3 linked regions of the Alligator mississippiensis genome follow. The protein of the gene in region 3 purifies or fractionates together with the protein of the main gene of each other region. This does not show direct contact. Links are inferred from orthologs where the notes say so. Each region holds a gene or a part of one and is shown on either strand. Other genes may lie near its edges.

Region 1 (10,563 bases), on a different chromosome or scaffold from region 3:
ATACAGTAGACCCTCACTAATTCACACTAGTAACTGAGAAGCCAAATTTCAAACATGCAAATATACTAATTAGCAAAACGTTTTACCATGAAAAAGTATATTTTGTTCATTTTACAAATTAAATTGATAATACTTTACAGAATACTCATAGATGCATTATAGCATATTTTGCAAAGACCTCATTACAATGCACTGCTGAGAGGCTAAGCAAGTACCTCTGGAAGGGCAGGCACTAGGTTATTGTGAACCACTGCTAAGCAACTATCATTGATTTGAAGGGCAAATTAGTGAGGTGCTCTGTATGAGAGGGGAAAAAAAAAGCTATGTTTCCTTCACTAACCCAAACATTCTTCTTTAAAAAAAGAGGAAAAAAAATTCGGTGTTTAAATACTGTTAAAAATCTGACAAACCACAGTACCAAAGAAATCCAAAAGGCCAAAATGGTCCTTAGTTCATCCTGTTTGCCTGGGTATTGCAGTAACTTTTGGAAGACCCCCAACAATAACAATTTTGCATTTCTAGGGCACCTTCCATCAGAAGATTTCTGAACTTTTTACCAACTAACAAATTAAGCCTCACAATACCCCTGTGAGGTAGGTTTTATCCCTATTTTACAGACAGGGAACTGAGGCAAAGAGAGGTTAAAGTGACCTGCCCAACATCACACAGCAAGTAAAGTTATGGACAAATGAATAAATTATATAGTGACCTACAAGGGGGAAGGGACTTGCCATGCATTGGCTGCTCTACAGTAACCATGGGCACACTCTTACCCTGCAACAGCTTGCCTCCCTATGAAACCAGGATTACATTATCACTGTTTCACTTTCACTTCTCATGTATTAAGAGAATATATGGGGACAATTACCAAGAAGCAGCTGACACGTGACAAAAATCCCTGACCCCTTTAACTTGCTGTAATGTATTTGTTTGTATGTATCTTACATGTCAGAAAAGAGAAAACAACTTGAATCTTCCGACTCCCATTCCTGTGCTCAATTACTAGACACTGTTTCCCATAACATATATACCTAAGCCTGGAGGTGGATTTAAGGATTGAGTTTGGCTTTGACCATAGTCACAATGGGGGACTAAAGTCCCTAGCATTCCCATTTACACTGTCTTTTACTCTCACCCACACAGCATTTTTTGTAAATATGTTAGTTGACAGTACACTGTAACAGCTTCTTCAGAGCCAGTTGTCTCTTGGTTTTAAAGTAAACATTTAAATATCCCATAGGTAAATTCTTGACATGGTAAAGAGTAAAATATATTGGATTACATGCCATCCACAATGAAGAAGTCAAATCTCTCACAGACTTCATGGGGACAGAATTGGGCCTATCAGACAGAGATTATCTGCACAAATTTACATCCACGTGAGTTTTTGGGGGCAGTTACAGGAATTATAATGCCAGTTTTGAAAGATCCTTCCCTTTAACAGTACTGGTTGGCATTACCATGATAAAAACTAACTTATTTAAATGAAGCACTCTTAAAAATTAAAGCTACAACTTCAGTGTTACAGCACCAGAATGTGTGTTGTGTAAAATTCTACAATTTAAACAATAAGCTAATGAAATAAAAATGACTGAATTTGAAAAGGAAAAACAACACTGACTAATTCATAAAGTGGTAACTGAAACTATAAATTATTTTTCTGACAATTACACAGCCTAAGAGGGTTACATAGCAGACTGAATTTATACTTTAACAAAACATACCTTTCGCGACCAATTTTTTTTTAAACAAGCAGCCACTTTTAATCACCTCACAGCCCCCATGAGAAAACATGGATCACTTTCTAACAATCATGTGATATGCTTTTTTCCTTTTTTTTTTTTTTTTTTTAAATATGTTATGTAATAAATCCATTAGAAAAGTGTCCATATTTTTCATTTTCTAAGTTTAAGGAAAATGCATGAAACTAACAAAGTGGTTTCCAGTTTTAAGTAGTTATATTTAACAAAAAAAAGAAATCTATGAACTTTGGTTTCCTTATGTTTTCTAAATAAAAAATATATTAAAATATCTACAAATCAAATATTAAAGGAAAAAAGTAGCTCCAATGAGCAGTTTGTAACACAATTTAAGTTCCTATTTACTTCTCTCAAGTAACTTTTCATGGGAAGAGATATTTTAAATCTGAAGTGCAACAAAAAGTGTCGTCTCGGCTGAAATGGCATTCTGAAGTTGTTACAACATTGGTGCACTTTCTGACTCATTCACCACAGTCAACACAAGCATATCATGTCATGATACATGATCATGTTCCTTAAAACAAGTATTCTGGATTTAGCAAAGTGACAAGAATAGGGACATCAGCAAATACAAGTTTGCCAAGTAGTGTATCTCAGAACATCTGTCTCTTCTTCTTGCAACAATGCTGTGGGTGAAGCCATCAAAATATAAGCAGCACCACTTTGGGAATTATAAAGATGATTCAAACTGTTTGTTTTGGTCAGCATTTGCCTCTAGCCTAACAGCAGGTATACTCTCAGATTTAGTCCTCCTAGTTCTGCTGTGTGAAGAATCAGTGATGACTTCTGAACATGAAATACCAATTGTAGACGATTTTTCCATCTCCTTTTCAGCGCTGTTTTCTGATGTCCCACAACACTGCTTCAAAGCACATTGAGTTCTGCAGGGAAGCTCGCAATTGCCTACACCTGATTCAGAGCCTACACTGGCAAATTCAGGCTGAATGGTAGTAGCATGAATTCCTTCATCATGAAAAATCTCTTTAATGTGCTTAGCCACTTTCATGTATGATTCAGGGTCATGACATTTTATGTGAGCAGTGCCAATGATCCTGCTGCCTGCCAATTGCCAAACATGTAATTCATGGACTGCTTCAACTCCTTCAAGTGTATGCAGCTTCAGGCTCAAAGAACGAATATCTATTTGTTTTGGAACAGTTTGTAAAAGGATAAGGGCCGATTCCTTAAGTAACGGGTAAGTTGTGTAAAGGATTATGCACACCATCATCAGACAAAGAATGGGATCTAAATATAGTACCCAGCATGGACCAGCCACATGCTCCAAAGGGCTAACTGTGGAAAGTGATGGGGCTACAGTAGCATTTTCCGTACAATGGCTATTGATACAAGGATTAACACAGGGCCCATCTTTGGGACAAGGATTCCAAACGAAGTAAAATACTAAGGCATTCGCCACCACAATAACTGACCCCAATGCATCTCCAAGAACATGCAAAAAAACTCCACGCATGTTAAGTTGTCCACTAGTGTCTTCAACATCAATGTCCAGAGAGTGACGGCCAGCATTCCCATTCATTTGTAGGTCATCCTTGCCATCTTTCTCTATATCACCTGCAAAGAAAGCAGTGCAATGATTACACTATTTCACTACATCATTAAAATAAGGGTATTATAGACTGAACATTTATGAGTTCATGGCTTAACTTGCAATAAAATTTGGAAACTATGGTCCCAAAACAAACTATTGTAATGAAAAAACTGATTCTGTATGGATGTTTTAAATCCTCTGCCACTCATTTATAGATTATATCTTAGCAATTCAGTTTGGTCTGAATCTTACCCCTACTTTTTATATTATGTAAATATAAACTATGGAATTCATGATTGTGCTCAAGACCCAGAAAAGCACACATTTTGCACAGAAATTAAATACAATAAAAAAAGCTTTGAAAGCATTTTTTCTATTCAATGCCTGATGGAAGTCTACATGCACATTGCTTCATGAGTACTACTTATTTTGTTTTGAAGTCCATGGCAATGTTTCCCACAACTGAAAGAGAAACAGGTAGTTTCTCCATTTTGTAGCTAGAGGCATCTAATGGAGGAATTTCATGATACATCCCTATGTCTTGGGGGGGAGAGGAGGAGGTGTCCCTTGGAGCATGTACAACTGAATAAATGCAATGATCCAAACAGTATATGACCCACATACTTTAGAAGACAGATACATAAATGCATAAGGCTGGAACTCAGATCAGTTTAGTTCCAATAATTACAACCTATACCCCAGAAACCCAATTTGACTTTTAAGTTCCTGTCACATTCACTAGAAGAACATTCCCTTTATCACGGACAAATTATAGCAGAGTAAGTTGAAACGAGTTTCTTCAGGTCTTCAAAAAACTGAGGCTTAAAACCTTACTAGAGGCCGATCACCTTTAAGCATTTCAGGCAGAGATGCAGATATCTGGGCTATGCCTGCTCGAATACACTTAACAGGTGGCAGCCCTCTTCCCCCACTTCAAGAAAAACAGTCCATCTGCCTACGCCGTTTTCAGTCCTGGGATACAACCACTGGGTATCATTTCACCGTGTTTCCTTGTATATTGAAGCACTCTGGTCTGTAATATTTTGATATGGCTAACACATCAATGAGTCTAACTATGGCTAATTCTACCATTCACAAAAATAGACATAGGAACCAGTTCTCATTTGCAGTTCTCAATTTGGCATCCTTACTGAAGATTCCAGGACCGGCATAACACGGTATACCACCTATTTAAACTTTCACATATACTCCACTGCTTATCCTGCTACCTAAAACACTATTCTCTGCCAGAGGGGCAACCATGAGACATTTCAGGCTAACTTGTTAAGTTTTGAAGCTACCTACTTTAAAAAACAAAAAAAAACACACAGAAAAAACAACAACAAAAAAAAAACAACAACAACAAAAAACAAACAAATGAAAACAAACAAAAACACTTAATGGAAAATTAGTCACAACTCTAGCCAGGGTGCAACTCTAGTCCCTCTCTAATAGAAGTATTTGTCACACAGCCATGTCTCATTTAGACATCTTCCACCGGTTTAAAATCTTTTCAAACTAATTACTAGGATACTTACCTCGGAAGAGATGCAAAATTAAAGCGGCTTATTTCAGGGTCAGGTTAGGATCAGTACCATAATTTTCCTATACTTTCACAAAACTGATCTTTAGAAAACTAACACACAACACTATTTGGTAATGATCAGGTATTTTCTTTCTTGTTCTGGAAATCTCCAATAGAAAAAGTCCCTGCCATGTCTGGAAGAAAAGCACCATTAAAAAGACACCAAGTAGGCAAAGAAAGCAGAAAAGGAAGTTGCTCAATACGGAATGTAGATGAATGAATGGTACTAACAACTCTGTGAATCACTCACCTAGCTAATACAAAAATAGCAATTGTAGCCAAGTTTCCTGTACGTCTCCAACCCAGTTTGATCAGGATTGATGGTCTCCTTACATTATCCCAACACTGTAAGGCATCAGGGCTTCAACACCTATTTCTCCTTCAGGGTAGGAAGGCAGTACTGCCTAGTGGCAATGGGCAATTCACTTCTCTTGAACTCATTTGACAACTTGCTTTTGACCTTGACCAAGTGACTACACATCCTTGTATGGTCCCTGCCCCTGCAGCATTTGAATGGGTCCTAAGCATTTAACAAGATCATTTTCCTTTCAGAATCTGTGGAAGGAACAGCTTTAAACAACTTTGATGTTGTGTACATACACATACCTGTGTGTATGTGGATGTGAGAAAGTGTGCGTGTGTGTACATCTATCAATGTGCAAACCCATGCACACACAACACATAGCTAAGAAGAAACTTGGAAGCTTTATCTCTTGCAGAAGTAAGTTGTGCGGTCTGCATCCAGCTCCTGCCAGAGCTCTGTCTCCTGCACAGATGAGCTTCCCCGCAACTGGGGGACATCTTCTTGCTCCCCTGGAACAACACCCTGCCCACCGTGAACATGAGGGAAGTGGCAATTTCTCAAGTATGTAGCCAGTCCCAATCCCCAGGAGAGCCCTGAGTATCAGGACAGAGGTGCTGGGTTATATGCTGCCCAGCCTGGAGCCGGGTCACAGCACAGCAGGGCAGCAGTTTGGGATGTGCAAGGTGGCAGACAGCTGCCTCTTGCTCCAAGGGACTCCCCGCAAGACTTACAAATGCATCATGAAATCCTCAGTGCCTCCAGCTACAAAATGGAGAAACCACCTGTTTCTCTTTACCTTTACAAAGCTCTTTGAAACTCGGGGGGGGGAGACAACCCTTAAAAAAAAAAACAAAAAAAACCCTGCTAGGTGAGGTCACACGAAGAAAAACCACTAGGCAAAGGGCGACAAGGTTCTTTAGGTAAATCCGATATCTTTTATTAGACCAACTCAAATAGCTGGAAAAAATCTTCTTAGTGACCTTTTGGGTACAAACACCCTTCGTCAGGCTGAAGAAGCATCTGCAGTTGGTGTATGTTCTTCCTACACCCCACTAGGCAAAGGGCACATTTACCCGCACCCACCAGGGGTCTTTTGCCCTCTTCCCGCCAGTGCCTGGGCAAGCTCCAGAAGTGCTGGGATGCTCCGGGACATCATTGGTCCCCTTCCCAGGGCCATGTGAACCCTTTAGCAGGACCTCAGCAAACGAACTTGTGCACCCCAACTTGATTGTCACTCAACAATCATAATGTGTAAGAGACCCACAACCAGGCCACTTCTTCACTTAGTGGCCTAGGCATGTGCCTGGCTTGCCTGTACATTAACCCAGCCCCTGCCAGCAAGTGTGGGGAGGGGACAGGAGAGGGCCTCTCCCCTGTCCCCCAAGGGGGTGCAGCCCCCAGCTCCGTTGGGACTCACCCAGCTGCTCCTGGCTGAGCCCGTTGGGGCCGCTGTAGTTGTCCACCAGCATGTTGGTCTCCTCCTTGTGCAGGGCAGCATCGCCCTCACCAGGGCAACGCTGCAGCTTGGCGCGTGGCGGTGGCGGGGCAGCGCCGTGCGCATGGCCGTGGCTGTGGCCATGTCCGTGCTGGTGGAAGAGGCAGAGCCCCAGCAGGTTGATGATCAGCCCGGCCACGCCGGCCACCAGCACGACGAGGGGCTGCTGGATCTCGTGTGGCTCAGTGAAGCGCTCGATGGCCTCGAGCAGGATGGTGAAGCAGAGCGCCGTGAGGAAGACAGCGTTGACCAGCGCGCCCATCACCTCGGCGCGCACCCAGCCGAATGTGTTCTTCTTGGTGGCGCGGGTGCGCTGCGCGAAGCGCACGGCCACCAGCGCCACCACCAGCGCCATCACGTCCGACAGCATGTGGAAGGAGTCGGACAGCATGGCCAGCGACGCCGTCAGCCGGCTCACCACCACCTCCATCACGAAGAACACGAACGTCAGCGCCAGCATGCACAGCAGCCGCGCCCGCCGGCACCGCGGCCGCCGCAGCTCGCCCGCGCCGCTGCCCGCCATCCCGCCCGGACGCCCGTTGGAGGCTGAGCAGAGCGGACCGGAGCGGCGGTTGGGCTGGGGCCGAACGCGGAATGCCGGTGCCGCCGCCCGCGCGCTCTGCAGACGGTTTGGAACCAAACTTTGCACCCGAGCCAGCTTACATCTTTTCCACACGGAACCCCAGCCCGCCCCGCGCGCTTCCCATTGGCTGCCCGGCCGGTCGCCGGGCGGAGCCCGCCTCCTACCATTGGCGGCCGGCCCCTCACGACAAGCCGGCGGCCGCGCCCTGCGCCGCCCGCCCATTGGAGGAACGGCGCTCCAGCGCCGGGGCCGCGCCGCCCATTGGCCCGCGCCCCTGTCGCTCCGCTTTCGGGGCCCGCCGCCGCGGCCCCGCCCCCGCGGGAGGCCGGTTTGCGGGACTGGTGCAAAAGGTAGTTAGGCGGGGGATGCCTCTCCTCGCGTGCAGCGCCCGCCCCGGCTCGGCCCAGTGTGGCGGGCTGTACTGCTTCCCCCCACCTCCCCGCCCGCTGCTCTCCGCCAGTCTCGCAGCGAAGCGGGCTGGCGGGGGCGGGGAGGGCTGAGCCTCCCTCCCTCCCCCCACCGCAAGGCTTTCGCTTCGTGTGCACGCCGCGCTGGCTGAGTGCAGCGGAGCGGGGCCCCACGCGTGACAGCCCTGCCCCGCCCCGCCGCTCGCGCGTGGGGGAGGGGCGCGTTCTAACCGCCAACGCGCGCAGCATCCCGGGGGGGCGGGGCACGGCTCAGGGTCGGGGGCACCATCCTGCCCCCTCCCTGGGGGTCTGGGGGCAGCAGCCTTTGCTCCCAGGTGGCTCCTGTGGTGACACCCCCACCGTGTCTCTGCGGGGCAGAGCAGCGCAAGCTTCCCTCTGCGGGGGTCCTAGGGGCCGTGGCTGGGTTTGCCCTGTGGAGCCTGTTGGCCCGCCCCCCCGGGGGTCCCAGCCCTCCTGCCTTTGAATCGCTGCTGGAAAGCTAAACCCTTCCCCAGGGAGGAAGAAGGAACTGGAGGAAAGCGTTCCCTGTTCACCCAGCGGGTAGGTTGCTAAGTCTTGCCCCTTTGATGCAACCTTGTGTTAGTTAAGGTTTCAGACCAGGCACATACCTCGCTTTGTGCTGTACACGCATTCCTGGAAAACGGCGTGTAACTCAAAGTCGCATAAAGGGAACCCACTTTACAGTATAACAAATAGGGATACGTTCCAAGATCTCGACTGTGCTGACCCCCAACCCCATTTCTACCACTTTTACAGGACAATTTTGGTACTCACTAACAGCAGACAGTACACATAAGCACAGGGCACTACCATAATGGGGATGGCAACTACAGAAACACATGTTGTAGACAACGAGCGAGGAGCACAGATCCACACAGGAGACTATATTTTGGTGCGCGTCGCTCCCACAATCCCACAATGTTGTCCCACCTGACAACAGCTGACTGCAGGCTTCCACCACAACAATCACATAAGAGTGAATTTACCTCGCATATAATGAATTTTTGGTATAAAAAGGGTCATCGCATAAAAGCGAATTCACATATACAAAACCCGCATAAAGCAAGGGAAACCTGTACACACTGGCCATGTCTACAGGAGATGCTTACTGTGCAGTAACTTGTTACTACTGCGCAGTAGTGTCATAGGGCACGAACTGTGACACAGCACCATTGTGCTGTGGGCATACCTACACATGCATTTATACTGGCTTAAATTTACTGCGTGGTAAGTGGGAATAGGCTGGCATGTACACATGCAGGCGTTAAAGCCTAAATTTAGTCCCAAGTCAGTCCACATGCACAGTGTTACTGCGCAGTAAGATGTCCAAATGTGCATTACTGCACAGTAACTAATCAGGTGTAAATTTGATACCCGCATCATGCAGTCATCAAATTTATGCCCAAGTCAGCGTAAGTCCCTAGATTTACTGCGCAGTACAGGCATGCACATGTAGACGCATGATCGTACTGTGCAGTAATCAAAATTACTGCGCATATGTAAACACACCCACTGGTCACATCTATATAAGACGCTGATTGCACAGTAGCTCATTACTACTGAGCAGTAGTGTCACAGGGCAGTCAACATCACCACAAAGTCATGCAGGGCTGCTACTCAGGGTTTGAATTACACTTTGACTCTTGTGTGGGGGTCTGGAAAATAAATTGGGCTGCCCATCAGATGCCCTAATAAAATCGAAGACCCCCAGGTTACGATTTTCAAATCTTACAGGGGAGCTCTCGTCTTTTATGGGGGGCCCCCCAAGCTCTCCCATAATTCAAACCCTGATGCTACTACGCAGTAGTTCCGGTTACTGCGCAGTCATTTAGTACTTGTGTATACAAGTACCAAATGACTGCACAGTCAGTTTCTTGTGTAGATGCAGCCACTGTGACTGCAGGTGTATCTGAGCTTGTATACCACAAGCAATGCAGCAGAACAGCCCACTCAAAGTAATTCACCCTGCTTTCATATCCAGACATCCAGGTACATCTACCCTGCATAGTTGGCAGCAGCAGCAGTCCCTCAATGCTCATCCACTAAATAAGGAAGTCATTGGTGAGTCAAAAGACAACTAAAGAGGCCAATCTGAGATCCACTTGTGTACACTGCATGGTACTGTGTAGAGATTGCAGAGACACTCAAACTAGCTCTCAACGAATTCTGCTGAGAAATCAAATTAAATTACCCAGAGTACTACATTTACCAGGCCTCACTTGGCTACTTCTGAATAGCATTGCGTCATGCGGTGTAGATATATCTGGATGTCTTGAAACAGAGGCTACTGCAGATGTTTGAAGACTTAACCAGAGGCAGACTGGAGGCTTGGACTCCATGAAACAGGCTGAAGACTTGGTTGCTATGGGGATCTGTCTGTTGGTCCCTGGTCACCATAATCATTCCTAAAATGCTGTCCCTACTTTACTCTTATTCTAGCTCTCTCTTTCATGCCTTAACTATTTTGTAATATTTTATTGTTTCTCCTGAATCAAGGAATTGAAAAGGAAAAATACATTATTGGTAATAATCCCCTGAGACATGGTTTTCATTATTTCACCCATCAGCAACTCTTCTAACCCACCAAGAAGACTGTTTGAGATCCTCAGCCAGAAGGAGCAAACAACCAAGCCCCATCAGGTACCAGATACGTTTACTAGTCCTCCACCTGCCAGATCCAAAGACTAAATCCTACACAGGCTGAAGAAACTGTTCTATCCTTATCCTATCATAAGCTTAGATACCTGCTACTCCTTGTTGCAAACATCCTAGCATCATGGTTGGTGGAAACAGATTGCACTATTTAGGAAAATCATATGTTGACTCACTAGCCAACTATGCTGAAAAAATTGGGAGGAA
Region 2 (10,563 bases), on a different chromosome or scaffold from region 3:
GTGGTGGACAGGTCATTTTTGACTTGGAGGGATGTGGGCAGTGGGGTCCCCCAGGGCTCAGTCCTCGGGCCCATACTGTTCAACATCTTCATTAGCAACTTGGACGAGGGGGTGAAAAGCACCTTGTTCAAGTTTGCGGATGACACTAAGATGTGGGGAGAAGTGGGCACACTAGAAGGGAGGGACAGGGTGCAACTGGATCTGGACAGGTTACAGAGGTGGGCGGATGAGAATAAGATGGGACTCAACACTGTCAAGTGCAGGGTACTGCACCTACGGAGAAAGAACCAGCAGCATACCTACAGGCTGGTGAACTCGTTTCTCATCAGCAGAGAGGCAGAAGAGGATGTTGGAGTCGTTATAGACTCCAAGATGAACATTGGTCACCAATGTGGGGACGCAGTCAGGAAGGCTAACCGCACCTTGCCATGCATCCATAGATGCATCATGAGCAGGTCCAGGGAGGTGATCCTCCCCCTCTTTGCGACACTGGTCAGGCCGCAGTTGGAGTACTGCGTCCAGTTCTGGGCGCCGCACTTCAGGAGGGATGTGGACAACTTGGAGAGGGTCCAGAGGAGGGCCACTCGCGTGATCAGGGGGCAGCAGGGCAGGCCCTATGAGGAGAGGCTACAAGACCTGAACCTGTTCAGCTTCCACAAGAGAAGGCTGAGAGGAGATCTGGTCTCCATCTACAAACTGGCCAACGGGGACCAGCAGGCAATGGGAGAGTCCCTGTTTCCCCGAGCACTACTGAGAGTAACAAGGAATAATGGCTATAAGTTGACGGAGAGTGGATTCAGGCTAGACATCAGGAGGTGCTACTTCACAGTCAGGGCAGCTACGATCCGGAACCAATTTCCAAGGGAAGTGGTGCTCGTTCCTACTCTGGGGGTCTTCAAAAGGAGGCTAGATAGACACCTAGCTGGGGTCATTTGACCCCAGCATTCTTTCCTGCCCATGGCAGGGGGTTGGACTTGATGATCTGCTCAGGTCCCTTCCGACCCCATCAACTATGAAACTACACTGGGGCACAGAACTGGAGTTATGATCACCACTGTGGCGACATTCATATAGGGCTCTTCCTAGAGTTACAGCTAGAATCTAATCCGTATTAGCCAGGTGGAAGATCACATAATCTACCAACAGTGATAATTTTATGGACAGACTTCGATCTCAATAATCCCATCCTAGGTAGGAATCCAGGCTCACCCACCAACTGCAAAAGAGGGGAAACAGGTAGTGTTGTAAGCAAGTCAGGGTGACCTAACTCCATTCTGTTCACAACCTGGAAAGGATAAACTCAACTAGTTTGGGTGGATAAGCCAGCGTATGGGCAATGCTCCCTATAACCAAGTCCAAATGCCAACTGGGTAAGAGCTCCCACAAAAGGGACAAATCTATCACCCAGCATCAAGGGAATTTGGCAAGGCACTCACAATGAGAAGGCTTGTTACTCTCTTAGCTCCAGCCATAGGAGGAGCAAGGAATAAAAGTATAGATGAGGGAAACAAATGGATATTCATTATGGGATCAAAGTGAGTATTATGGAATGGGACAGAAAAAAAAATGAGGATAGATGAGACAGCTCAGCACTGAAGGAAGCACACACCAGGGTCTGGGGCCTCATCTTAGGCTTAACTCAGTTCTCCTTGCACAGAATTGCATGGATATGTGGATACATTTAGGATCATGTAGGCCTTTGGTATGTGTCTGTTTGCAAGCAGGTTTTAAAAAAAGCAAGCCTCCCAAGGCAGCCTCACATACATGTTTAGGAAAGTAGGAGCTTGCCTCAAATGTCTGAATCTAAGGCACAGGAATATCACTTCTCCCCCTTTCTCTTCTGCTCTGCAAAAATAAATGGTAGCTGAAAATGCACAACTGCCATACTGAGAGAGACAAATACAAGGGATTTCAATAGAAGTACAAGGGATATAATGTCTCTGAAGTACAGACTGCGTATGTGATCTGGTCTCCCTTCAGGGCATGCATATTCACACATGCATCTTCTCCAGTTCCCACAGCAGCAGCTTTGTTGCATCACAAGGCACTGATGACAACTAAAAGGATCCTTGTGAAGAACATGGTTGCCACAACTTCCAGTTTGCTGAATTTGAAAGTTGGGGATAATGTACTGATGCTGCTTAAAGTCTTTAAGGCCAGAAGGAACCACAAGATCTCCTAGTCTGATTGCCTCTAAAACAGAAGTCATCATGTTTCACCCCTATGCCAAGTCTACAGATTTAGAAAGACACTCACCTCTACTCAGGAGACTACAGTGTGTGCTCCAGACAAAGAATAGTGCCACCAATTCCAAAGCCCCTTTGAGAAGGCTGGAAATTAATCAGGGGAGATATGGAAGATAATCTTGGCAGAAGCGATTCACACCCTAGACTGCAAGGAAAGCTAAATACCTTTCCCAAAATGTTTTTCAATCTGCCATGGGGGAAAAAAAAAAAAGACTCCTTTCCACCCCAAAATGTGTCCCTGAGCAAGACAGCAAAGATAGGCATCACAGAACGTATTCTCTCCACCGCCTCAGCCCAATATCCCACATCCTACTGTAGCAGATCTACCTTTCCCTGAAGCAGTGGAAAGAAGGACATCCCCCCTCCAGAATTCAGAAGACCTCTATGCATGGTTGTGCATCAGGGGAAACAAATCCTTCATGATTCCTGCAGATGACTGGCCGAAGCCCCAATGCATGAGATAAGATTACAGGCACTATCTTAATGTATAACTGTGAGTGTTACAAGCACTGCAAATGTGCATCCCCACCTCTATGTGCATGGGGTGGGGGGACAGAATTAAGAAACCCACACAGGACAATCACTTAAAAAAGAGAATGCATTTGCACCCATGATGAGCAGATTGAGTTGGAGAATAACAACATCCACAAACCAATTAACTGTCCCTTCCTAACCCAAGGACAATCACCTTAGGCCCTTGATCACAAACATTGCAGAAAACTGTGACAAAGCTTTCAAAACAGGAAGTGGTGTGGTTAGACAGAGACAAGCAGACTGCATCAGGCTGAAGATCAGACTTTTGTAATGAGGCAGCCTCAGCAAAAAGCCGAGGGGGGGGGGGGGAGGAAGGGATGACAAGACAATAGGGCAAGGGAATGTAATACGTAAAAGCACAAAGGGCAACTTCTGCTCTCAGCCCAGCTGAACACTGAAAGGACACAGGCCTGACCACATTAGCCAATACCCTCCCTTCAAGTATACTGTGCAGCATTCAAAAGCTTGTCTAAGTCTACCCCAACCATGGAGTTGGTGCAATAATCAATATCCCCCACAAAAATCCCTGCCTCTCACATTTCCTAGTCACTAAGATGCCATTAGTCTGAACACAGGACTTCTCCTTTTGTGAGTTGATGACTCCAATTCAGTCCAGAAGTGGAAAACAAGAGCTAGTTCAAAAAGATGACAAATGAGGGGGCAGGGAAAGTATTGATTTGGATTGGGATATGGAACTTTCCCCTTTATGGGATGCTGGCTCCAACCTGGTCCCTGGGAAGTGAAAGTTACTGGTTCATAAGGCAAAAAATCATTTACAAAGTTCTTCTACTCTGGGAGAACTGACTGCAGCCCAACAGCAGAACTGGCTTGCTCAAGGAGAATAAGAAACAGCAAAAGACAGCTCAGTGTTACCATTGTCTCAGTCAGAGATGACCCTAGTGTTCCCTCTGTGGCACAAGGAAAAATGTGTAAATGAGGACCCAAATGCTTGTGACCACTGTAGAAGACCTCCTGACACTTCGGCCAGAGTGCCCCAGGTCTAAAGACCCACCTCTGCTTCCCCTAAATCCCACTTTACAGTTTCAATGCAACACAGAGTTCTCCTTTGCTTTCTTTCAGGTTTGCACCGGACAGGGCAGTAGCAGGTCAGCTTGGGTGCTAGACACAGCATAACCATGTCAGTGTGATGATCCATATCCCTGGTAGATGTACCCAAGGTAATGTGACTGGTAGACCAGTTGCCCTGCCTCATTCCTGATTTCCACATTTTGGAACTACCCGCATATAATGCTGCTGTTACGCTGCTGGCCCACCTAAGAAGACAGATGCATTTCATTGTACATATTCTTTAACACCAAAAAGAGGCACTCATCTACCTGCAGTATCATTATGGCAGCCACAGTGCCTAATTAAGAGACTCAGGATTAATAGCTAAAAAAAACCCCAACTCATAACTTTTATCTAAAAATCCCAATAGAAGCCATGACTCTTAGCAGCCAGTTATGGCTAGATTTTCAATAAAAAGGAAGTCAACACAGTTACAGGAAACGAGATTCCCCTAAGTCATTTCCCCCGGGCTTTATACAGCATTTCCCAATATAGGAAAAGAGTCTGAAGAAAAGCAGAACCAAGTTTAGCTGTTCAGAGTCAACACCACAAATGCACTGAAAATGCAGACTTCACATGGCTATTTCTATCTTCAAGCAGGGCGTCACCTCACTAATAAAACTGAAAAGCTCTAAGTGGGCACCCATTCCCAGGAAACACAAACACAGTGCCAGCCTGGCCTTTAATGCAAGTATTTTGCTCTTCCATGATATTCCAGGAGTTTCCATGTGGCCAGAAGATCTGGTGAGATGCCACTACCTATGGAGAACAGTCATAGCAACATACCATCCACCCTAAATGTGATCAACTCTAAAGCAGCCATCAGTTCAAATGGATACAACCCCAAAGCTCTGAAAGAGCTCACTGCATTTCCAACATACCAAGAAGTGGCCCTAGTGTAGCTGGAAGAGGTCTGCTATTTCCAAAGGGCCCACAAAATAACTAGCAAATGGATGTACTAAAGGTGGAGCTGTTGATCAATCTCCACTGCTATCATAAAACACATGCCTCCACTTCCAATGTATGCACAAACTGAGGTGGACAGATTCTACATCCCCACAGAACATCCTCCTTTACTGCTAATTAATACAGAAGCAGTCTCCCTCTAACGTCCAACAGAAGCCCAAGCCAACCCAGAAGCATTAATACCATCCATAACTTTCAGTCCCCTCATTCGCATACATCAACATCTACATCCTTCTTACCTTCTGTCACATCACGAGGGTTGGATATCTTATCACTAGCTGGATCAGCTGCTACCGTAGCCAGTGATGTAGTCGCTACAGAGAAGTCACTCATGCCCTCACTCCGGGTTGTCTCAGGAACACTCTCCCGGGAGCTGAAGCGAACCCGGGAGCTAGAGCGGGAGCTGAGGTCAGGGCTGGTATCAGAGAGGCCTGGGATGTCATCGATTTTCGTAGGGGTCACCATGAACCGGACAGAAGCCATTGTGTAGCTACTGTGTTGCTGTTGTTGGGAGGGTGGTGGAACAATCTAATACATTCCTGGAAATGTTAAAATTATGATCATCCAGAAATCTTAATAAATAAAAAAGAAGTGATAATTTAAGAAGGTAGCAAAATGAACTGCATAACAAGAAGTTCCACCATACAGCAAATGCATGTCTACCATGGATCTCCTGTGATCTGCTACTATGTGGTGTCCAGACACCTCTTGATTATCAAGTGAATTTTCCATGGGTGTGGCTAAGAAGGGAGTGCAGGGCTTGACCCATGGTTTACCCAGTAAATCAATCAACAGCTATCTGATTCACTCAGTGAGCTGTTTGTCAGAGTTCCTGATTTGAAACTGTTTGCACAGATAATCCGTTACTATTACTACTCTGCAGACTTCCAGTGCCAAAACAGGCAAGAAGAAACTTTCACGTCCTGATGCAAATAATTATTTTTTGGGTAAATATCCAAAAAGGGATTTGGTTTGAAGAGGGGTCCATTGGTTAGAAACATGTGAAAGTGCAAAAAAAGACAAGAGGTTTCACCAAGTCCTGGTGCAAAATGTGCGAAGAGACCAAGCAAACCAAGTGATCCGAGCACGAGGAGGAGAATCACTGACCGATTTCTGGTGTGGCGAGCAAGGACAGCGAGTACGCCAGCAGGTCCCAAAGAGCACTCTGTGCTAATACACCTTGCACTTTGGATGCACCAAAAAAGTGTGCTGGAAGGTTGAATATCCCAAGTCCTGGAGTAGGACTGCCACCATCCCTCAGGGCTCTGGCAGCTGAATATCCTCCCGCCGGGCAAAAACTCTTCCACGCAATGCCCACGAGGTCCCCGTGACTCAACGATGCTCCAGTTCCACCAGCTCCCAAGGTTAACACAGCTGGATTTTCCCTAGGGTCATGGGACAAGAAGGTTGCTATTAAAGAGCGCTCGGTCCAAGGAGACACCAGACAAGGCCTCACCCACACTAGCCCACAGTATTGGGATGTGCACGCCCCCTCCAAGCTCAGTGCCATTGCTACAGCAAACTGGGGCAGCCCAAGGATCGCCAAGCCAAGCCAAGCCAAACCAAACCAAGCAAGGGTCAAGGTGGCAGGGCAGGGGGGTGGGGCAGCATTAAGCCTGGGGCCAACACTGCCCTGCCATGCGGACCTGCTGCAGGGGCCAGACAGTGGTGGCAAGGGGATCCATGGCAGCACATGGCCTTGCAAGGGATGCCGCAGCTGCTGCTCTGTAATGGGGAGAGACAGGCACCTGCCATTGAGACGGGGCGACAAGTTGCGCATGCGCAGCCTGCCACTAAATTAGGGGAACGGGAGGGGGTGAGAACGCTCAGCTGCGCATGCGCACCAACCCTGTACCCGTGAATAGGGCCCCCCAAAAAAGGCGGGAAAGGCTGTTAGGGGCCGCGGTCGTTTACCTTGGACCGGCGTCTGCTCCCGGAGGCCGCGCCCGGGGAGGAGGGAGAAGAAGAGGCTGCCAGGTGCAAGGGCTCTGGGGCTGGAAGAGTCGCACTTCACCCTCCCGCCCGCCACGGCGCATGCGCACGCGCAGGCACCGGCTCGGCGGGGCGGGGCGGGGCAGGCCGCGGGGGCCGCTGGGAGTTGTAGTTCGTGACCGGAAGGACTCATGATGTCTTCTAGCCTCCCATTGAGGTCAGCCTCAGCAGGAAGAGCGATGACGTAGAGGAGTGGGGAGCAATGAGGGATAGGGGCGCAGCTCAGCGCCCTTCCCTTCATGATCCCGGGGCAGAAGGCTGTGTGTGGCACCTGGCCAAGGCCCTGGGGCCTCCGTGTCAGACCAGTGGTCCTGTGTCCTGCAGAGCTTGGCTGTCCCTGCTCTGTGTCCACCTGCTCTGACAAAGACCAAAGGCCAAAGGCTCTGACAAAGAGTCCTGGGACTCTTCTGAGGCGACAGCTGATATTTGCACTTGCAAACCAGGCACCTGCCTGTCCGCCTCCCTGGGCCCGGCTGAGTCCTGGGTGCTGGTGCCTGCGCAGCAGGCCCAGGATTTCTCAGTGGTTCGGGTTAATGAACATCCCCATCTTTGTGGCCTCTCTGTATAAATTATGACACTAGTGACTCCCTCTTTGGCACAGATCTGACAGTGCTGGGCTCTTTAAGAGGCCTCTGGGTGGTAGGCACAGCCCAAACTTTCAGTGACCTTTATCCATCACATACTTCAGTGAAAGTATGCTGAACTCTCTGCTGTCTCTGAAATGAGTAGAGCTGATTTGCAGCTAAAAGGAAAAGATAGAAGTGGGAAGAAGGATTATAATTGCATTCCAAGCTGTGGTAGGGAAGCAGTATCTAGTTAGTAGTTACTGCTGGGGTCCAGAAGTCATGACTCCTAGGCTGCAGCCCATGCTGTGGGATGAGCCTCTGACGTCAGGGCAGGGACCTGGGAGGGCACACCTAGATTTTATGGCTGGCTCTAGCAGGGGAGTAATATCTAGTGGTTAAAGCAGCAACAGGACAGCTGACTGGGTTCTGTTCCAAACTCTGCCCATACAACATTCTTTCATCAGCCACAAATGAATGGACATTGATTCAGTAAACTCCGATTTAATCTCTCTCAGTGCTGCATAAAATGGCCTTTTCAGCCATTTCTAATCCCAGGTTAAAGGGAAAACGCGGAAATAAAAACCAACCTACGTGTTATAGCAATGAGTACAGAAGCCTCAAGTGCTGGCAGTCCCAAATAGGTCACAGCAAACAGAGGTGTTAACAAGGCAGCCCTGCACTTTTGTTGGAGAGCCCCGAGGCCCCAAACTGCCCAGCGCTGGGTCTCATGACATTCCTTCTCCGGGTAGACTGATCCCAAAAGCAGTCCAGTCTGAATCAGTGATTAGTATGTGAGAAACAGGATAGTTTTAAGTGTGTTGAGATAGCTATGCAAAAGACAGGGATTTCTTAAGGTGAGATCTTTAATTGGTCCAATAAAAGATCTCACCCTAAGAAATCCTTGCCTTTCGCATAATTTCTGGACCATCACAGCTACATCACTCTTACACTTGAGATATCTAGGCAGGTGATAACACCAAGTGATGACTCCAGGTAAGAACAGCAGTCACAGGTCAGGACTCAGAGCTTCCTTGCTCCCTACGTGATTGGCCAAGACAGAGTTATCGCAGAGAAATGGGCAGGAATACAGAAATTTGAATCTGAGCTGTATAAAACTCCTCCACACAAAGGCATTTGTGTGGGAAACTGGAACTTGCTTCAACTATAAGGATGGATTCTGAGGGCCCTCAGAGCTCGCTGCTTAGTACTGAGTATATCTATGTATTTTCTGCTGCATATAGCCACTATTAGTAATTTTGATAGGTTGATAATATCCCAATAAACTGGTGCATCATTCAAAGGAACTTGCTTTGGGTTGTCTTATATTTCTCTGGATAAACAAGAGCCCCCAGAGTTATCATGGGTGTGACACCTTGGGCACCAGCAACGCACAAGTCAAAGACAGCGGCTAGGCTGCTGGTGGCATGGCGGGCCAGCATCTGTGGTAAGTATTATTTCTGCACTCCTTAAGTGGGTGCTTTAGTTACACTACTGATGCCAGTCCTGAATGCCAAGCTAAGCAGCTGAGTGGTGCAGTGCTGGGATACTAGCATTCAGTATCTTTCCCTCTCAAATTGAGCAGCAGAGACTCAAGCTTATTCTCTTCCATCAAGCTTGCAGTCTCCTCTCTTTCACTTTGTAGAATCTTCCCCACCTTTCCTGCCATGCGGCCCAACCACCTGATCCCATATCAGACCCTGAATGCAGCTTTCCCCCACATCTAATAAAGGCCATCTCACATTTCTAATATGATGAATATGCTTCCCTACTAAAACAATGAAAGCTTAGTCAGAAACCTTCCCTTGTTATGCTTAAGTTCCTAACACAACATGAACATCTGCACAGCATGAAACAAATGAGTACAGCTTCACCACTACTAGAGGGTTAAAAGCTCAGCAGGGAAGGAGAGTCTGGGCTAAGGGTAGAAATAAACATCAGATAATTTATTGGCAATCAAAAGACAAACCATGTTTTCAACTACAGTGATTAACTCTGGCTTGATCAAAAGGGGAATCAAAGCAGTTTTTCCACAGACAAGAGGAGAATGGGGAAAGGTTTTAGGATGTGTTTAGGATCAGCAGTCAGATCACAAGGAGAGGGATAAACAAAGGAGTGGAAGATGAGTTGGTGCAGAGGGAGCCACTGAGCCAGCTTCAGCTGAGCAGGACTGTCCCATTTCAGGGCAGTCAGGGGCACGTTTCTGTGCTTCCAGCTGGGAAAAGGCCTGCCCTCACATAATGGGCCGCGGCTGCTGTGTCATGAGGACGCCAAAGCGCTTCTTGATGGTGACCCGGTGGCGGGAGTATTTGTCATCTGGGGAGAAGCGGGCAGGATGTGCAGAGGAAGTCACTTGGCCAGAGGGGCTTACTTTCTACAGGGAAGGAAATGGAAAGAGATGATATCATACCAGGTCACGGCAACTGGGTCCTAAAATACAAATACCCAAGTCTGGCCACCCTGACGTCCCCACCCCCCACGGCTCCACTTTTGTGCTTCACTCACTGCCACCTCCTCTCCCAGCTCTGAGCCTCCACCCAGGTGGCGAGGGCATGTCACTCAACCCCCAACTCGCTGCCCCCCCAAGCCCTGAGCTCCACGGGCACAACTCTGCCATGACTACTCAATCCTGACCCCCAGGTCCCACCCCAGCCCTGGGGCACAACCCCCCTGCCCCACCTGCCCTGGGCTGTCCCACTGCCTGCCTCCCCCGACCAGGGGGATGCAAACCTGCACCCAGGGGCAGAGCGACACACGGCCCCGGCTGCACAGGACGTGCGCGGGAGGCTGGAAGAGATCTTGGGGCAGATAAGGGAAGGCGAGAAAGGTCCCGGGGCTGCGGCAGGGGCTCACCTTGAGGGTGTACACCCGGTCCCCCTGCTCGTTGAGATAGTACTGCAGGAACATGGCTCCGGCTCCGACCCGGCCCCAGATCGCAGCCGCACACGTGCTCCCAGCGCGCCCGCTCCCGCGACTGCCAGCGGGGACCGCCCCGGCGCACGGGGGGGGCGGGAGCTGCGGCCGCCTCTCCTTCCCCTCCCCGGGCACTCTGGGACTTGTAGGAGACGCCGGTCCCGGGCAGCCCGCCCAGCGCCCCGTTTCTGCCTCAGCCTCTGGAAATACGTTGTGCTTGGCCAGGAAATGAACACGCCAAACCAAGCTGCAGGTCCTCCAAACGCGGGACTTGATCTGCT
Region 3 (10,563 bases):
TTTTCTTACCCACAGAATATATCAGTAGTATGTTTAGGTTGCGCATGGCATAGGGTACAGATACCTGATCTAGCTTCAAAAGTTAGCTCTGGAAGCAACCTACCTGCAACAGCACAGACCTCCACGTGGGCTAATTCACTCTGCTTCTTCACAGGGTGAAGGAGCCCTGGCTCTAGCATCCTCCTGATGCCTTGCCCTCCAGATGAGCTTGTCTGTGGTGGGCCGAGAAGCTCTGCTTCATTCCAGCACTTTGTGCAAGTGTTGGATCCTTGTTGTTATCCAGATTCAAGTTAACTGGCAAGTGTCACTTATTTTCTTCTAATAGTTAAATCTCTGTTCCTCAATTTAACAAGCTAGCTATCATTGGTGGGTTGCAAGACAACCTTTTTTTAGCAAACTCTAGGGCTCCAGTTCCTCATTTAAGGGACTGCTCTAGCACCTGCCCTTTAGTACACACCATACTGAGATTTCTGTCTGTAAGTGCTCCAGGCCTGTTAGCATCGCCTTGCCTTGCTTCCTGCCAGGATCCCTTGGTTTCTGGTCCTTGACACCAGACCCTGCTTTGTCTCTCCTGCATTCCAGTCTCTTGCTGTAGACTTGACTTGGCATCTGACTACAGACTTTGTCCATAGCCTGGTATCTCAAGCACACCTCTTGTTCTTGTCTTCTTTGTTAGATCCTGACTTCTGTGTAATGCTAGGACCTTTTGCTTTAGAAGCTGGGATGAACTACTGTAGCACATTATAATATTCTCATTCTTATTTTTCCCTAAAGGAGACCACAAAACCCGGTATCTTCACTTTTCCATATCTATTACCTTGCATGTTCAGCTCTGCCCACAAGTTTTATTCTAATGTGCATGCTTGTACAAGGGTTTTTGGCTTGAATACTAGGATTCTTGAATATCTGAATTCCCCAGCTACTTTATATTTGTTTTTCATTGCTGCTTTCAGTTCTTTTTAATCACACTTTCTTCTTTACTGTGAATTTTACTAAACTGATGATTTCCATCATGTTTCATGTACAGTGTTCTGGGTAATAACAGTCATACAACTAAATTGATTCATCATTAAAAACTATTTATAGACATGCAGGGTAGATGCATGTTCTGGTGTCTCCCCCAAAGTCTTCCCTCTTGGAATTTGTTGTTCTAGTTGAAGTTTTATGCAATTTGCTAGAGTTACATCATTACAATGGTTTTTACTGTTAACAGTTTTTATCAATTATTCTAATGGTCTTAAATAATTTTCTAAGTAGGTTTAAGGCTGGGAATTCCCTTAGTTTCACAAAATGTATCAAAAGCTTCATGAATATTAAGCAAGAAAATGAAATATAGTGTTAGAAATCAGTGTTGTCTGGGGTTATTGGTGTCGCTGTTGCTGTCATCCTCGTGGGTGTTATTGATATGTTCTCAGTATTGAAGTCTCAGGAACTGCAGTGTCTGCAAGTCACAGCCAGGAGATCTCAACACTAATCTTGCCTTAAAGAAAGACCACAGGCTTAGTTCGGTGGCAAAGATTTGGCCAGTTTTATTGTCTACAAGCACAGCCCTAACACATTTTGGCCTAACAAGTACATCAGACCAGGACCTAAGGCATTTGTACTTGTGACAAGGCACTCAGCACACCACCACACAGACTCCCCCCAGGCCACTACAAAATTCCTCTGCTTTCCAAATCTTTTTATACAATAAGCAAAACGAATTACATATTCCATCTGTATCTTGAATGTCTCCGGCTGTCCTGTTCTGTGGGCTTGGATTAACCTGTGCCTCAAGTGGTGTCACTTTGAGACTCTCAAAGAGCACTCAGCTAGAACTAGCGAGCCTCAAGGTGTAGAGGCCCACATGTCAAGTGTCCTGAGGATGGTCTCAAATGCAGTACGGTGATTCTCAACCAGGGGGCTGGGGCACCCAGGGGTGCTGTGAGGTCCTTTGAAGAGTGCTGCAAGGTGTGAGGTGATAAGATAAAATTGCAGGCTCAGATTCAGGCTCAGTCCCTACCTGGCTGCTCCCCTTCCTCCCCCCACCCAGTGCCCAGCCTGTCCCAGGAGGTAAGCACTGCACTCAACCAGTTCCTTTTTGAACTGGGGGCTGCTCAGTTCCCAAGCCTGATTGGGCGGGGGGGGAAGGGGAAGCCTCCAGTGTAGAAGGCCTGAGCCCCGCTGGTGTAAGGTGGAGCTTCCCCCAGGCAGCAGCCTGCAGCAGGGGGACTCATTGAAATCCTGAGGGCCAAGCAGGGAGCGATAGCGGGTCCAGCCCATTCATAGCCTAGATCAGGGGGTTTTGAATGTGAGGCTGCTCACAAACTTTTTATCACCCAGTGGGCCGGCCAGCCAGATTCAAAGACATCACAGGAAGTGGTATCATATCAGGAAGTGATGTCACGTGACCTTTGACACCAGTGAAGTTGCAGAGGTTGACATGGTGCTGGTTGATATGGCATGCGTGCCCAGGTTGACATGGTGCTGCAGGAGCCGCTTGGCTACAACCGGGTTGACCTGGTGCTGGAGAAGTCAGGGGCCAGGCCAGGGTTAACCTGGGGCCTGCCTGGCCTGCCAGTGCCATGCCTGGGTTGATATGGTGCTGCAGGACTGGCCTGGGCAGAACCGGGTCTGCACCGGCCAGGAAAAGCAGCATGCAGCTGAAGCCAGCTTCCCATGTGCTGCTGGGGACAGGATGTTGCACAAACGGCTAGTTTCATGCCCCTGGAGGCTTGTCCAATCCACCCCAGGAGAGAGTCACACACACAGGCTAGGTCCAATTTCAGATTTATTGTTTGCAAACAGATTGACCCAGGAGCTGAGCTCAAATCAGAGTCGACCACAAATTGTGTCTGCAACTTCTTTTTATAGCCAAGGTAAACAATAGATTTCAACGTATCGTGCAATTATTGGCAGACTTAGCATTACGTCTTGCATCGTATGTCTAGCAGTTACATGTTCTATGACGGTTTACATACATGTCTCATTTACATCTTAAATCCCCTCCCAGGGGCAGTTCTTAAGCTCCTCTGGTCATCCTTCGGTCAGGGTAAAATTTCTTAGCATCAACATTTTTCCCTGTCACTCTTCGCTTATCTCTTGTAAGGAGTTATTTATTGCATCCGTTCCTGGCTCCGTCTGCAGAATTTTAGTTCTATTCGTAAATCAATTGTTAGTCTACTTGTCTTAGTGATAAGTGTGGAAGAGAGAGTGAAAACATGCGGAGTGCATAAGCAATTACAAAAGCAAGGTGTATAGATTATGCTGTATTTTTACCACAAGGAGGAGGCCGGCCAGGTCTGCATCGGCCAGCAGAAGCGGTGGTGGAGCCGTGTGCCGCTCGGGACTGACCGGCGCAGGCTCGTCCCGTCCCGAGCAGTACACGGCTCCGCCACCGCTTCTGCTGGCCGATGCAGACCCGGCCGGGTTCCTCCAGTCCCCAGCAGCACGTGAGAAGCGGCCCCCTCAGGGCCTCGCGAGCTGGCGGCCGGGCCGGAGAGCAGCAGCGCGGTGGGGGGGGGGAAGAGCTCGTCGGGGGAGCAGGCGCCGCCTTGCTGTGGGGCAGGGCAGGGCAGGGCAGGGCAGCGGGGCTGGCTTGAAGCGGGCGGGTGACGAGGCAGGCGTGGGCCGGCAGTGGCAACGGCGGCTGCTTGGCCTCCGCATGGGGCGGATCCCCCCGGCCCCGCGGGGGTAAGCAGCTCCCTTCTCTTTGCTGCCGGCTGGGGCCGGCCCTGCCCGCCTCGCCGCGGCCCCGCCGCCGCCTCGGGCCAAATAAAATGGCTTGAACAAGCCTGGCCTAGAACTTGACTGAATCTCTGCGCTTGCAGAGACGCCGGCCCACAATTAGCTCGCTCAGCACGCCTCGCGTTCTGACAGCTGCGGACTGAGCCGCGATTGGCCGCGGCTAGACGCCACGCTGCCCTTTGATTGGCGCGAGTTCTCCCACCTCCCCGTGCGCCTGCGTTCCGATTCGCTCGGCCTGTCAGTGCCGGAGGCGGATTGGCTACGGCTTCGCCCTACCGAGTCGTCTGATTGGCTCGGGTGGGGAGGCGCGCGCGCGCCACAGAGAGTACCTGCTACTCGGCTGCAGCATCCCTCGGAGCTTTGGACAGGTGGCGCATGCGCGGTTCGCGCTGAGGAAAAGCAGCCGGGCTTTGCCAGTGAGCGGCTTGCGGGACTGGTTCGCCGGTAAATCCGCGCGGACCCGGGCTGAGGTGGGGGGAGGGGGCGCGACGCCGTGTGAAAGGGGCACGCGGGCAGAGGCAGGAGGACCACCCTCACGGGGACGTTTGCGTAGAGGCCTTAATCCCAGCGGGAGGCGGCCGCCCCTCCCTCTCCCCATTCCCCTTCGGCGGGGGTTACGTGGTGCGACCGTTGGGAGCCGTTGGAACGGGGTGGCCCAGAGCGTTGTGAGCCCGCCCCCCTGAAGCGGGGGCTGGTGTGCGGCACGGCCGTTGGGGCAGTTCGAACGCCGCGGCCCTGAGCGTTCTGAGCCCGCCCCCCCCCGCGGTGGGGGCTCGCGCAGGACCCGGCCCCCGCTTCCGCCCCCCGCCCCTATAGTGGGAAGAGCCTTCGCGCTCAGCAGTGACTAGCTACTTCTCGTGAGGGGCATAAGCAGGACCCCCCTAATTCCCGGCTGAGGAGCAGCTCTCGTGGGCTGGGGAGTGCAGAGGGTTAATTCGAGCCCATCGCTTCTCCTGTCCCCGCTGCTAAGCGATGAGATCAGATACAATCCGTCCCCCGGGGAGGGAGGAGGAGCCCTGGCTCTAGCATCCTCCTGATGCCTTGCCCTCCAGATGAGCTTGTCTGTGGTGGGCCCAGAAGCTCTGCTTCATTCCAGCACTTTGTGCGAGTGTTGGATCCTTGTTGTTATCCAGATTCAAGTTAACTCATGGTCCCCCAGCATCCTGGGGTGCTCTGCACCTCCCTCACAAACCCCACCTCACAGGGTGGGCGGGCTAGCATTGGCCTAAGCTGTCTGCTCCAGTGGAGCAGGGAGGCATGCTTTAGGCCCCCCCCCAGCCTGTGGCCTGGGACACTGCAGGCATGTGGATGCATTTCCAGAATCAAAAGTGAATGTCTGTTCACCTGCTTATCAGTTCAACCTACACAGCTTAGGCTAAGCCGCAAAGTTGAATTGATTCAGCCTCGGGCTTTTTGACTGTCTGTGCTTAGTTTGGGGGCTTCCGTGGTGCAGCTTTAGAAACCCAGTGACCAGAGCTGGCCTCATGAAGAGGGGCTGCCAGACCAGGCAGTGCTGAAGTAAAGCTCATGTTTTTTCTTGACAAGGAGCATAGTGTTTCACTCCATTCTTCATTGGAGATTGCAGCAAGAGAAGGTGAAGCACGTGTTTCTGCCACAGGCACTCAGAAAGGGAAATGCCAGTGAAGTAGCTGTTCCTGGGTATTAATTTGGGAACAAAGAGAAGGTGCCAGTGGATGGATGGAAGCTCAGGTGGAGTAAGAGTGAGCTGGTGCATAAGCCGAGACGGAAGGAGGAAGTGTGGATGTAGTCTGAAGGGCATTGTGTGTAACCCTGGGAGACCCCTAGAGAGTGGTCTTGTGGGCTTGGGAGTAGGCTGGAAGAGTTTTAGAGCTGTGAGCAAGAAGGCTCTGGTGGTTTGGATTTTTTTTTCCTGTGCTTGGAAAAGATTTGATTGCATTCTTGTAAATAGAAGTACATGAAAGAAACCTGATTCTGCTACCAATCACTACACCTCATTGGAATAATTAACAAGGCCCACATTTTGTTTAGCTGCTCAGCTAAAAAAGGACAATGCTAGCAGTCTTGTAAACTGAGGGTTGAAGGATACTAGGGTTTAATGGTATTTCTGTGCTGCTTTAACAGTGAGCATGGTCGCTGCCCTGTGTGCACCCAAGCCCACAAACTGTGTCACATACATGGCTCAGGAGTGGCCCTGAGCATATGCCATAGTGCCACACTTAGACCTTCTTAAAACAGCCTGAGTATGGTGCTGGGACTTGTGCTTAGGACTATTTCTGAGGCATCTGTGCTACGTAATTTATGGGCTTGCATGTATATATACTGGGCATAGGTAAGTATGGCTTATTTCTCACTGATACTCTTGGGATTGCTTTGGAGGTGGTATAGATGTATCCTAGGGACCCACTCTAGAGAAGAGAACTGTAGGAGTTGCCCTGCTTTCCATTAGAATTTGCTCTTATCTAGGTGAGATTAGTTCAGTCAAGTTGTCTGGATAGGTTCATAGTTTTCTCTTAAAGCTTTTGTTAGCCAGAGCAAGTTTACTGTAAGTATAAATGTAATCTAAAACAAAAATCCAAGTTTCACTTCCTGTTAGGTGGGTAAATAATGCGTCCAAAGCTGAAGTTAACCATAAAAATAATGTTTAGGGCTGCTTGTGTAGAATGTTAGGGCACCTATACATGTGCATTAAGGCTGCTCTGATGTGTTGTAATTACAGTGCGTTTGGGGCAGACTCGATTAATTGAGTCTGCTGAAGTGTGGTAATTACCGTGCTCCAGTAGACTCCAGCATCATGTGTATCAGTGTCCTCGCATGGAAAAATGGCAGTGGGGTGCTTTAACTAAAGCTTTAAGACAAGCTTTAGTTGAAGTGCCCTCACTGCCATTTTAAGCACAGAGATGCTGATGCATGTTGTGATCCGGGAGCTTTGATTAGAGCGGCTCTTGGAGCCATTCTAATTAAAGCACCCTGCCTCCTGGAGCATGTACTTTTCAGGGGTGTACTTTTTCCAGATCCTGACAAAGGGACTTTGATCCCAAAAGCTTGCAGAAAAGGACAGTTTTCTTTCCATTTTCCAGTTGGTCTAATAAAAGGTATCATTTTGGAACCAAGAGTTCTAGTTTTTTGTATGCCTTAGATCCTACTGTCCTCTCTACAACTCACTGTCCTTCTGAGTCTGCCCCGTGGTTTAACCACTTAGACCCATGACTGACGTTACTTTTGTCACGTGTTATGTACAGTATTGCACAACAAATTATAATGTGCCAGGTTTATCCTTGCATAAAATTGGTGAATCGGCAACAAAGAAGTTGGCTGTTGAAGCAGAAACATCTTGTGGTGCAGAAGTATCCTGCAATATTGTGTGGCCAGTTGGCATGTTATGATTTGTCATGCAACGTTTGCATACGATATGCAGCAAATATAACATCTGTAGGGGCTTTATGCTCTGTTCCAGTTCTGCTCAAACAGGATTATAGGCTTCCTCAATCAAAGTCTCTGGAAGGTAGTTGCAGATAAATTGCAACAAGCAACTGTTTGACAACTGAGGAGGGCCTGCCTTCTTTTTTAGTCCAGTAGCTTAGTGGTTCATGCACTTCTCAAGGGAGTAGGAGGCTCCAGTTCTTCTAGTTCTAGGCCCTTCTCAGTATCTTTAACATAACCACTAATCCATGGGCTAGGTAAAGCCAAGAGTGTCTGGCTCTGCGAGATGGACAGTATTGTGTAGGAAATGGTACTTTGTTCTGGCCCTCACTGCATATTTACAGGAAATAGATGTTGAATAAAATGCATAGAAAGCACTGGGAACAGGAGTAGCTTCCCTTCTCTTCCCTTCTTAGCTACCCAGACCCTCAATTATCAGGTTACACAAAAGTGAAACATAAAGAATCATTCTGTATTTACCAAGCCCAAGACTGCAAATTTAAGACCACCACCCCCTCCCACAGTTATTAGATTCTAGACATGGAAAAAATTGTTTTAATTCTTCATGTCTAGAATCTAGTTATTGGAGTGTCCTCTTAAATTCACCCCACGACCACCAGCGTTACAGGAAAAGTGGGGGGGGAGGGCAAGCAGCCTGCCCCACACCACTTGTCTCCCCCTGCTCCCCTTATGCCTGCCTTCCTGCTGGCCGCCTCCACCCCCCAATGCCTTACCCCCACTTCCATTTAGAATCATAGAAACACAGAAAGTTAGGGTTGGAAGGGACCTCAGGAAGTCATCTAATCCAACCCTCTGCTCAAAGCAGGGCCTCCCCCAACTAGATCATCCCAGCCAAAGCTTTGTCTAGCTGGGTTTTGAGAACCTCCAAGGATGGAGCTTCTACCACCTCTGTGGGTAACCTGTTCCAGTGTTTTACTACTCTTCTAGTGAGAAAATTCTTCCTAATATCTAATCTCAACTTCCCTTGCTGCAACTTGAGACCATTGCTCCTTGCTCTGTTGTCTGCCACCATTTAAAACAGTCTAGCTCCATCCTTTTTCAAACCCCCTTTCAGGTAGTTGAAGGCTGCTATTAAGTCTCCTTTTCTTTAGACTAAATAAGCCCAGTTCTCCCAGCCTTTCCTCATAAGTCATGTCCTTCAGCCCCCTCACCATTTTTGTTGCTGTCCACTGGACTCTCCAATTTGTCCACATCCTTTTTGAAGTGGGGGATCCAAAACTAAACACAGTACTCCAGATGTGGCCTCACCTGTGCTGAATAGAGGGAAATAATCACTTACCTTGACCTTCTGGCAACACATCTATCAATGCAGCCCATTTTGCTGTTAGTCTTTTTGGCAACAAGGGCACACTGCTGGCTCATATTCAGCTTATTGTCCACTGTAACCCCCAGGGGCTTTTCTGCAGAGCTGCTGCCAAGTGAGTCAGCCTCCAACCTGTACCGGTGCATGGGATTGTTCCATCCTAAGTGCAGGACTTTGCACTTGTCCTTGTTGAACCTCGTGGGATTCCTTTTGGCCCAATCCTCCAATTTGTCTAGATCACTCTGAATCCTAGCTCTACGCTCCAGTATATCTACTATTCCCTCCAGCTTGGTGTCATCTGCAGACTGGCAGAGGATGCAGTCTATGCCATCTTTCAGGTCATTTATAGAACAAAACTGGCCCCAGGACTGACCCCTGGGGCCCTCCACTTGATGCCAGCTGCCAACTAGACATTAAGCCATTGATTACTAATATACCCCTTCTCAGAGGTGACACGTAGGGGGTGCATGTGTAGCCCCTGAGCATAGTGGTGCACCCCTTGCAAAAAGGCACCGCTGACAGTGTGGGCGGTGCCTACAGGTGGTCACTGTTCACCACCCTTGCACTGATACCGCTGGCGGTGTCTGCAGGCAGTCTACTATTGCCGTGGGCGGTTGCCGCTCCTGGTCAGTGCTTGCTGCCACTCCCCCCCCCCAGCCGCTGACAGTGCTGGTGGCATATGCAGGAGCTCTGCGTTTATTGCCTCCAGCACAGTGGTGCCCCCCCCAGCCACCACGGGCATGCACCGTTCATATCCCATCTTGTACCTGCCCACCGCCTGCCTCTTACCTTTGCAGCTGCTCTGGCTCTGGCTCTGGCTCTGCTAGGGGTGTGGAGCCCCTGGCTCAGCCAGGCAGTAGTGGTGGCTCTGGCTTCAGCTTCCAGCCCAGGTCTGGCTCAGAGGCCCAGCAGCTTGCCCCAGCGCACTGCACACCTCTTCCCTCTGCTCCCCTGGCTCTGTGTGCCCCTTCCCCAGCCTTATACTGCACAGAACTAACTTATGTTCTGTTGTGACTTCTGCTGGATGAATAAAAAAGTTGTGTTATGGGGCCTAACAGAACCAAGTTGGAAGGCAGCTGTTCTCCTGTTCAATGACTATGAAGAAATAAACATCTGAAGCTTAATCTGATGTGGAGAACATGTATGCATGCATAAAGGATGTTTCTGACGAACATTTGGGGTTAAAATCCTGACTTTATTCAAGTCTCTGGAAGTTTGAATAGGTTCAGACCTAGGTCTGGGTGACAAAATGATTCCTTGTTCTCTTTCTGTGATCTCATTATTCTGGCTTCAGAATTTTTAAATAAAATATTAATTCCAGAAACAGTTAACCATACTGTTGAAGTGTCAAGTTCCAGGATGCTAAAGCAAATTTGTTGGCTGATGGTTAAGATTTTTTCTGCTTTATAAAAAAGCTGTTGTGCATGGTTTGCAGAGTTCCATCTTCAAGAGCCCCAGGAGCTGTGGTAAGATCAAGATTAGATGTTCTTTCAAGCTATTTTGGTGGCTTGAAGAGATGAATGAAAGGTACCTGGTTTCATAGGTTGTGTATATTGGTAGGGGGAAATCTACTCAAGGGATGCATGATTAATGATATTAAATAGCTTCCATATGTTTGTTGCCAGCATGTGGCAAGTGAGCCAACTAGTCTACAGACTTATTTTGCATTGTGTGGGTGTTGTTCTGACAAAGGCCTTGACTCCTCAGGAATCAAAAATTTTGCAGCCTTATTCTAATCTATCCTCAGTGTTCTTTCTTTCCTGGTAGCATATGTATGCTATTGTTGTCCAGTTGTCACTTGTGATGTAGAAATGTGAATATTTCTCAAGAGTTTTTAATGGGCATCAATGGCAGCTTGGAAAATCATCATCAGAATTTTAAATAGATTAGGGGAACATAGGCTGGAATCCAAGTGGGAGGCTGAAGAGGTCTCCTGCTTCTAATAGTAAAATATTTGTAGAGTTCGGAAAAAAAATTACAGGTGATGATTTTCTAACAAAGTATTGCAACCAATTCAAGGTAATACTCTTATTCCTCTTTCTGATGGATAAGGACTGATCTCTGAACTTAACATAGGTACAGGTAATCATTTTAACTTCATTTGTTATGTA

Evidence for each region.
Region 1: the proteins of CLGN (region 3) and SLC30A1 purify together in Homo sapiens (co-immunoprecipitation; 3 studies listed by BioGRID and IntAct, with this or other methods). This does not show direct contact. The link is inferred for Alligator mississippiensis from reciprocal best matches to the Homo sapiens genes CLGN and SLC30A1.
Region 2: the proteins of CLGN (region 3) and SLC12A6 purify together in Homo sapiens (affinity purification with mass spectrometry; 3 studies listed by BioGRID and IntAct, with this or other methods). This does not show direct contact. The link is inferred for Alligator mississippiensis from reciprocal best matches to the Homo sapiens genes CLGN and SLC12A6.

Annotation. Positions count from the first base shown.
Region 1 is NC_081824.1:190,330,844-190,341,406, reverse strand, and holds the start of SLC30A1 (proton-coupled zinc antiporter SLC30A1), read right to left. Parts: upstream 7,386-10,563; 5' UTR 7,217-7,385; coding exon 6,616-7,216; intron 3,333-6,615; coding exon 2,431-3,332; 3' UTR 1-2,430. UniProt on the Homo sapiens protein: Zinc ion:proton antiporter that could function at the plasma membrane mediating zinc efflux from cells against its electrochemical gradient protecting them from intracellular zinc accumulation and toxicity.
Region 2 is NC_081830.1:36,385,243-36,395,805, reverse strand, and holds the start of SLC12A6 (solute carrier family 12 member 6), read right to left. Parts: upstream 6,866-10,563; 5' UTR 6,729-6,865; intron 6,200-6,728; 5' UTR 5,298-6,199; coding exon 5,054-5,297; intron 1-5,053. Other genes in the region: NOP10 (H/ACA ribonucleoprotein complex subunit 3), read right to left, coding at 9,603-9,743, 10,223-10,276.
Region 3 is NC_081825.1:104,596,873-104,607,435, forward strand, and holds the start of CLGN (calmegin), read left to right. Parts: upstream 1-4,052; 5' UTR 4,053-4,142; exon of another isoform or gene 4,143-4,170; intron 4,171-10,563. UniProt on the Homo sapiens protein: Functions during spermatogenesis as a chaperone for a range of client proteins that are important for sperm adhesion onto the egg zona pellucida and for subsequent penetration of the zona pellucida.